Linked DNA regions of Nothobranchius furzeri. The protein of the gene in region 2 interacts with the protein of the main gene of each other region in a biochemical or structural test. Links are inferred from orthologs where the notes say so. Each region holds a gene or a part of one and is shown on either strand. Other genes may lie near its edges. The genes, in order: zfp36l1a and mapkapk2a.

Region 1 (4,340 bases), on a different chromosome or scaffold from region 2:
CCCCCTATGTGGCTCCTGTGCAGGCAAAAGAAGAGGAAGGGGAAAAGGGAATGTTTTGCCTCTACCCCCACCCCTCTCCCCTCACCTCCCCAGGGCAGTGCTGTGTAGTAATAAACGTCCCCCATAAATCTTCCCCTCATGCCATCATCCCCCCACCCCTCATAACCCTGCCTTTCTTTTCTCCCCCCCTCCCCTCCTCCTCCTCCCTCCTCTCCTTTCTACTGCAACCCAACCCTGACATAAACACATGGCCGATGGCTTCTCTGTCATGGATTTGGAAGGCGGGAGGAAGTCAGAACCAGAGCCACAATAGGTTTGTATAAGTTTCACAGTCCCAAAGCCTGGCTCTTTCTTCTGACCCTGAATGCGTCATGATGACTGACTTGTGGTTAAATCTGGTGAGATCACTTGTGTATCAAATTATCACCCACCTGGTGAGGCGATATGAATTTGAGAGAAGCTTGAATGAGTTGTGGTGACAAAAACATATATATATATATATATATATATATATATATATATATATATATATATATATATATATATATATAAAGAAAGAAAACAGGAGTACAAAAATGTCGGGGAAAGAGTTAAAAAAAAGAACTCTGCAACCACCGGAAAGTCCCACGAGTGACGTTACAGTCCAGCAATTAGGAGTAAATTAATTACAGAGTAGTGGATGGTAGCTTAAACCCTGAGGATAATGTATCGCCTCCCAGTAAACAACTGAAGAGTTCCATTAGAGGGAAAACAGGAAGTCACAGACTTTGTTTAATCTCTGTGTGGCAAAATCTACAATCTGCAGCTCTAGCTTTTAATATAATGTTTATTGTTTACACTTTTCCATCACTGGGTGACTTTTTTGTGTCAAATCCACACAAATTAGTCTTTAAGGAGGGAAATGCGGAACAGATGTGGTTCTCCACACACACACACACACACACACACACACACACACACACACACACACACACACACACACACACACACACACACACACACACACACACACACACACACACACACACACAACAAGTGTTAAGGATTCACAACACGTCCAGCAGCGTAACCACGTCAAAGAAACTGACTAACCCGGGCTACAAGTTTGGCTTCAAAAGAGGAGCCGGGAAGAGGGGGAAGGAAAAAAGAGAAAAGTTTCTGAAAGTTAACGCCCAGAAGTTCAGGCTCCTCCTGCCCGCTCTTCAAAAGCAAATGTCGACGCTAAAGTGGGGCAGAGGGGGAGTCTGCAGGGTGTAAAATACACAGGAGCTGCGAATCAGAAACTCCGCAGACCTGCGCAACTCTTTAACAAGCACCGGTTGTTTTTTTTTTTTTTTTAGTTTTTTTTTTCGTCAGTAATTCTTTACTCACAACCTGCCGCCGTAAAGATGACCACAGCCGTGGTGTCGCCGTTCTTCGACTTCGAAGTAATAAACAAGGTACTTTTAAACTTTGTGCATCTTTAGCTGTGAACTCTTGCTAGCTGCGGCCCTCTCTCTGGCGCTAACGTGGACGCTGCTGTTGTTTTTTTGCTGTCTCGTCTTGCTTTTTCCCCCTTTCCTCTGCCTTCTTACAGCTTGTTTGTGTCGTTTCCTTCTCCTGGAGCGTTTATGTGACACAAATGCCTCGTGAGTCTGTCGTCGCGTGACGTTACCATTAGTAGAAGTTTCAGCCACAGCGCGTGCCACATCACCTAGCCGTGCTTGACATGCTATCACGCATTTCATTCAAGTTCAGCGGTGGTTTAAAGTTGGCTGGAGTTAATTCGGGCTGGGTTGGATTTTGTTGGGGAAAGTTTTGCGCCTCTTTTGTGTCCCGCAGTTGTTGCTAATCATTGACCAAATGTGTCGAGCCTTAGTACGCGCTTTCCTCCTGGGAAAACCGTAAAACACTGGGAAGTTCATGTGAGGAGAACGTGTGTGAGATTCGCCTCGTTTGCATGCATTTCCCTCGGTATCCGACTGCTTATCAAGCAAGATTTTCCCGCTTTTGTAGGGATTAACTGTTTTGTGTTCATGTAAATCAGCAACCAGCAGGTAAGCTGCAGAGAGGGCTCGCCATGTGCAACCCAACAGGATGCTTCGCTGTTTTAGTACCAGATTTGAAATGATGCAGCCTTGCTGGCAGCCCACAGGCCTCTCGTGCGCTGCAGCTCCATTTAGTAAGCAGGCACACATTCCTACCCAGGGTAGCCAGCCAAACCAGCTGCTGCTCTATAGGCCTGTATCCGTTTATGCTGTCAGAGCCAAAAAGAACAGTCATGCAATAGAAGGTGGAGGTTTCTTTTTTTTCTGGCCTGCCTTTTTATAAACTTGCACGTTCTGCCTGTGCTATAAAGTATTTGTAGAATGTGTGCTAATAACATGTTTTGTTTTGTTTTTTCTTGCAGAATAATAAGCTTCTCAGCTACAACAACAACAACAACCTGGGTGCCCCTCACCCCATGTCTGTCCCTTGCACTGGCACAAACGTGCCCATTTCCAACGCCGCCGGATCCCTGCTGGACAGGAAGGCGGTGGGGTCTCCCTCAATGGGGGGTGTGTACCATCGGCGGCACTCTGTCAGCATCACAAAGTTTAGCCAGAATCAGTTTCTGAACAGCCTGAAGGCAGTGGACCACTCCTCGCTCATCTCAGGGCCTGGCAATGCCAGCAACAACAAGGAGAACCGCCTGCGAGACCGCTCCTTCTCTGAGATGGGTGAGCGGCTGATCAACAAGTGCCTGGGCCCGGCCAGTCCCACGTGCGGCAGCAGCCAAGTGAACTCCAGCCGTTACAAGACCGAGCTCTGCAGGCCTTTTGAGGAAAACGGTTCCTGCAAATATGGTGACAAATGCCAGTTTGCACATGGGATCCATGAACTGCGTAGCCTGAGCCGGCACCCCAAATACAAAACTGAGCTGTGCCGCACCTTCCACACCATCGGATTCTGCCCGTACGGGCCTCGGTGCCATTTCATCCACAACGCAGAGGAGCGCCGCGGACCTCCCCAGCAGTCCTCCCCTCTAAACTCTTCAAACAAGATCGAGAGGCCTCGACTGCAGCACAGCTACAGCTTTGCCGGGTTCTCCAGCTCAGCTGGGCTGAGAGAAAGTCCCACCTCAGTCACCCCACCTCCCATGTTCTTCCCTGATGAGGTCCCAGATTGGCCCAGCAGTAACCCCTTCACCTATTCCAGCCAGGAGCTGGCCAACCTGTTTGGGCCAAGCCTCGGTGCTGGTTCTGTAGGCACAGAGCCCAACACCCCTGCACCTCCATCTCCAACAAGCTCGTCTTTTCTGTTCAGACCTATGTTGGAGTCCCCACAGATGTTCGAGTCGCCATCCAGCCCTCGAGACTCCCTGTCAGACCAAGAAGGTTACCAGAGCAGCTCTGGCTCAGAGTCCCCCTCGCTGGACACCACCCGCCGCCTTCCCATCTTCAGCCGCCTCTCCATCTCCGACGACTAGACCGCCTGCAGCCTCCAGTGACTTTTTAAGTTTAATGACGCAAAGAGAACATGGCTCTCCCCTCTACCTCCTCCTCCCCATCTTTCAGTTTCCCACCGAGTCCCCCGTCATTGTAAGGATGTAATCAATGAAGGGAGCTTTTCTTAAATGATCATTTCATCCCAGCTGATCTGCACATCTCATTTAAAATTCTGCCATGTGTCATAGTGCCAAATGAGAAGTGGAAATTGAACAGTGAAAACAAGAATTAACTTTGTCCAGGTGCCACTTGCATTTTTCCTCTTTACACCCCCCCCCCCCCCCCTTTCCTCTTCAGTTCTTGAATGTGTAGCAACAAGTGGCCTTGGAAAAGGGGAGTGCGATGCACGAACCCCCAGCCCCCTCTTGCCTTCTCTGCCCTGATGATACCACTTCCCCCTGAGCAGGCTAGATGGTGCTCACTAATGTAATTGTAGCTCTACCGCAGATGTTTTTGCAGACTCGATGCATAAATGATATAAAAAAAATGATAGACCCTGAAAATATATGAAAAGGTTTTAAACAAAAATAAAAAAAATAGTGCCTGGGGCGGTTTCTGCATGTGTTTAGGGTGAGTGGACTACTGTGTTTTTTCTCTCTGCTCCTACCCCACTGTCAGTTCTTCTAAAGCCCCGTCTTATGTAACTGAACTGGGTGAGTCTGCAGGAAGGACTTTGAACTGGAAGTTGGTTGTGCCCCCCGCCCTCTCCCGAGTTTTCTCCTGTTGCTGGTCACTGGCTTATTTTTATTTTTTTTGTTCTTTTATTTTGGGAAGGAAGTCTTGATATCGAACTGATCATTAAACTTGTACGACTTTGTCCCGCTGCCACCTGTTTCATCTTCACCGATCTGGGGAATTCCAGCATTCCCATGG
Region 2 (4,280 bases):
GGACAACTACATGGGGAACAAGACACTCACCCCCCAGCAATGCATACCACTTACAAACTCTATTCTAGATTCTACATTATTTTTTATGGAATTTACCTCTTATATTTTGATGCCAAAAAATTATTCTGGACTGATATTTTGCACTGTTTAGCTCATTTTACACTGCTGACTGTGTTCGTGTGCAATAAAATAGATTGCAGTCAACTGCACAACTCTGTTTTTCTTTTTCTTAACTGAAATGTATTCATCATTGTTCTCCTGCCAGATGAGATGATGGTTACAGGTGTGAGGATGCACCTTCTGTTATAGCCAAGACTGAACACTTTTCCTGATATCCAAGTGGTTGTCTGACTTTATAGATCAAAATGACAGATTTATGTTATGTTAAGTTATTCATTGCCAAACCAAAGCCTATTGTTGCACAACACCACATATAAGTATTTCTTCTCTCTCACGCAGCAAGATGAAGTTGATGAAATGGAGGAAGAGGAGGAAAACAACCCCCCTGCACCTAACCCCAAGCAATCCAGTGCTTTGGAGTCTCTCCTTGGGGAAGACTACAGACCAAGAGAGGAGAGGGGGCATGCAAAGAAAACTTGTGCAGAGGTGGCAGAAGATGAGATCAAGAGGTACAGGGCGAGGAAACCTGCAGGACTGCAGGACAATCCTCTGGTCTGGTGGAGAGAGAATGAAAAAGTATCCTCTTTTGGCTCGCATGGCTAAGCGATATCTCTGTGTCTTTGGGACCAGTGTCGTATCTGAGAGGGTTTTTTCAACTGCAGGTGATATAATTACTGCAAAAAGAAGCTGTCTCACCCCTGGTCATGTGAATCAGTTACTTTTCCTGCAGAAGAATCTTACCATTCGCAAGTGATGTACATAAGGACAGTTTACACAGTCTGTCTTTAGTCAAGTTTATGTTCCTGTTCTATTTTGTTTGTACATCAATATGGAATGCCTTTCAGTTTTCACAAGTTTACATTTTTGTACTTTATCGGCATTTGAATGTTTCTGGATACCTGAAGTGTTTAAGTTTTTGCACAAGACTGTGAAACAGTTGTTTAAGGTTCTGTACCTTTTAATTTCTATTTGCACAAAGTAAAACGAAAGCAGTTAATTTTGAGCTTTCTGTTTCTGTTTACATTTGCACTGGCAAATAATGTCTTTTGTCATATGGTAAAACTTATTTGAATAAAAATGGCATTTGCTTTCAACAGCAATATCTTTTGGCTGAATTCCTAACGTCTGAATTTAATAATGTCCTAGAAAACACTGGAAACACTTGACATCATTAATTACCTTTCTCAGTGGCCTAGTGGTAGAGGGTCCGCCCTGAGACTGGGAGATCAGGGGTTCGATTCCAGGTCGGGTCATACCAAAGACTTTGAAAAAATGAGACCCAATGCCTCCCTGCTTGACACTCAGCATTAAGGGATTGGATTGGGGGGTTAAACCACCAAATAGTTCCCGAGCGCGGCTGTGTCTGCAGCTCACCCCATCCCCCAGGGGATGGGTCAAATGCGGAGAACAAATTTTGCACACACACCTGTGTGTGTGACAACTAATGGGACTTTATTATTTATTTATTATTATTATTACATTCTGTGAGAGGGACTGATCTTTACAACCATGTTTAATGGCCAATATTTCATTAATTTATCACTGAATGTCAATATTATCAATACACTGCACAACTATGCAGTCATGGAATTAAGGTAACTGCAAAAATGTTTTTAAATTGATGACCCGAATCGAATCGATATCGGATCAGAATCGATCAGGTTACATAGTGATAATCGATTCTAAATCTCAAGAATCGGAGTCGACTCGATTCTGGAAATTTGAATCGATACCCAGCACTACTAAATATCTACGTTTTATTTTTTTTAAGTTCGCCATTATCCGTCACAGCTAGGTGGAAATGCTATTTTATATAATTAAATTATATTAATGTTAACACATTTGTAGCAAAATTTATAAAAATATACCAAAATGGGAGGTCTTCTCAAAGGGAACAGTGCTGTTCATAAGGGCAACTCCTACTCATGTTTGCCATTTTCCTGCATCAACACATCCGACTCAGTGTTTGAATTATTTGTTAAGCATGTCTTCAAGTTCTGTAGAATCTTGTTAATCAGTCAATGATTACCATCTGGAGCACACAAAAGTGTAAGACATGCTAGATAGTTGGGCTGCAAGAACCAGAGTTGGACACCACTGGATTAGGGTGTGTTTATGTGTTATTTTCTAAATCTGTATCCTCTACTGCCACTTCAAGTGGTGTTACCTTCAATAACCAGTTCATGCACACTGTTGTTTCCAGCTGTAACTCACCTTTAGGGCGTATTTATCACCGGTGCTCTTCTGGTAGATTTCCAACACCTTTCCATTGATGCCCAGCCCCAACACCTGGTTGGTTATCTTGTAGTCTTCTGTGATGGCGTTCTTCTTGATTTGTAGGTTGGATTTCGAAATGAAGGGGGCAAACTGACCCGGAGGGTTCTGTTGCCCGCTTGGGTTCTGCTGGCCCGCTGGGTTCGGAAACCGTGGCTGGTTCTGAGGGTTACTTAGCATGTTCATGTTCTGGGCTTAGAGATAATCAGTCGCCACCACTCAACAACACCGCTCCGTCGTTTCCCTTTGAACACAAATTGGGTCTTCCCGACTTAGCTGGTGACCGAACACCGTAAGAGACTAAGGCCCGGAGACAAGCCGACAGTAATATTAAAATTACAGATTAACAAAGTTACTTGGTAATCCGAAAAATATCAGATAAGCTATTTTTAGCATGCTAGCTCGAGCCTATTCTATGACCTATGATTCCCGGCTAACAACTAAGCTAACTGTTAGCTTATCCATCTCCGGTAGTGTCCGCCTTCCACCGGTTCCTCAAAAAATCGAAGAGACGAAAACGCTTCAGGAACTTATTAAAACACCCTTCAAGTCGCTTAAAATGTTGTGTTACGCTACTAAAATCAAGAAATCTCACAATTCGGCTTTGAAAATACCAAAACCACCTAGTAAAATAACGTGAAATGAGAGGAAAAGTCCGACCAAGCTAACGCGACAAACACACTTCACTTTTCGGTGGACAGGGTTTACTCATGACGTCATGGCAGTTTTTTTTTTGTGTTGTTCTTAAAGGAGAAGTACCACAGAGGAAATGACCGGATTATCTGGCTCGCTGATAATCGCCAGAGAATCATAAAGTAAACCACGTTTTATATGTTTGTTGAGTTTGATTGTTTGGATTGTATTCAGTACATAAACAAGGGGACGTCCACACGGCCACTAACAGCGTTTAAAGAGCAACAGCGAGGGACCAAAATAGACGCAGACTAGTCTGTGAGAGGAGAGGAACAGGTTACCTCAAGGTTAGGGCTTTTCTGTTTCCACATCACTGTTTCACATCAAAATGAATTCAACTCATTAATCCGGTTTCAGTTTTCTAGTTGGGAAGACGCACTGCTACCAAACAAATGTTAATGGGATAATTTAAGCCCTCTGAAGTGGGAATGAGCATTTAGGGTAGACCCAAATAAAGGATCGGCCCAATAAGGAATTAGGCACTGAACACTCATTTATAATTTTATATATTTTTTCTTTTTTATTTTTTAACAGTCGATTTAAAACCACACGCATACATGACAAACATTTCTTACTTTTATTATCTCCACTGGGAGATTATTGGTGTCAAAACTTAATTGATAAACATGTTTTTCTTAAAGTAAATTGTCCTGAAGACAAGATTGTTTGATTTGTGGTACTTAAATAATATTCATTTAAAGTCAATAGTTTGATTCAGTTTTTAAATGAGAGTTTGGGACGTGTAGCAGTGTCGTTTAGAATTGCACTTAGATCATTCAGTATTTTTCATTTAGATTCCTCTTCATGAAATTACACTTTAGGATAAAGAGAACACGAAATGAACTGATCAGATATATTAGTAAAACATTTACACAAATGTAGGTGTGTCTGTGTGTGTGTGTGTGTGCGCGCGCGCGCGTGTGTGTGCGTGTGTGTGTGTGTGTGTCCTCATAATCACACTAAGTGCTAAAATGAAGCGTACAATTCCAGTACTGGTGGGACTTCCAGCTTATAAAGTAATTATCTCATCAACACAATAAGACTTTTTTATTTTCCCTCATCCAGTCCCTATCTAATCTGATTTAATAAACTGTTCTTTTTTTCTCATTGATAAACAGATGTTTGAATAGTTAGTGCTTGTCAAGTCTAAACTCTAAAAACATTAATTTATAACAATAAGCATAAAACACAAT

What was found.
Region 1: of the proteins of mapkapk2a (region 2) and zfp36l1a, one has a biochemical effect on the other in vitro, tested with the Homo sapiens proteins (2 studies listed by BioGRID). The link is inferred for Nothobranchius furzeri from reciprocal best matches to the Homo sapiens genes MAPKAPK2 and ZFP36L1.

Annotation. Positions count from the first base shown.
Region 1 is NC_091758.1:21,529,121-21,533,460, forward strand, and holds zfp36l1a (mRNA decay activator protein ZFP36L1a), read left to right. Parts: upstream 1-1,256; 5' UTR 1,257-1,388; coding exon 1,389-1,439; intron 1,440-2,389; coding exon 2,390-3,448; 3' UTR 3,449-3,680; downstream 3,681-4,340. UniProt on the Homo sapiens protein: Zinc-finger RNA-binding protein that destabilizes several cytoplasmic AU-rich element (ARE)-containing mRNA transcripts by promoting their poly(A) tail removal or deadenylation, and hence provide a mechanism for attenuating protein synthesis.
Region 2 is NC_091743.1:50,981,961-50,986,240, forward strand, and holds the start of mapkapk2a (MAP kinase-activated protein kinase 2), read right to left. Parts: upstream 2,813-4,280; 5' UTR 2,581-2,812; coding exon 2,335-2,580; intron 1-2,334. UniProt on the Homo sapiens protein: Stress-activated serine/threonine-protein kinase involved in cytokine production, endocytosis, reorganization of the cytoskeleton, cell migration, cell cycle control, chromatin remodeling, DNA damage response and transcriptional regulation.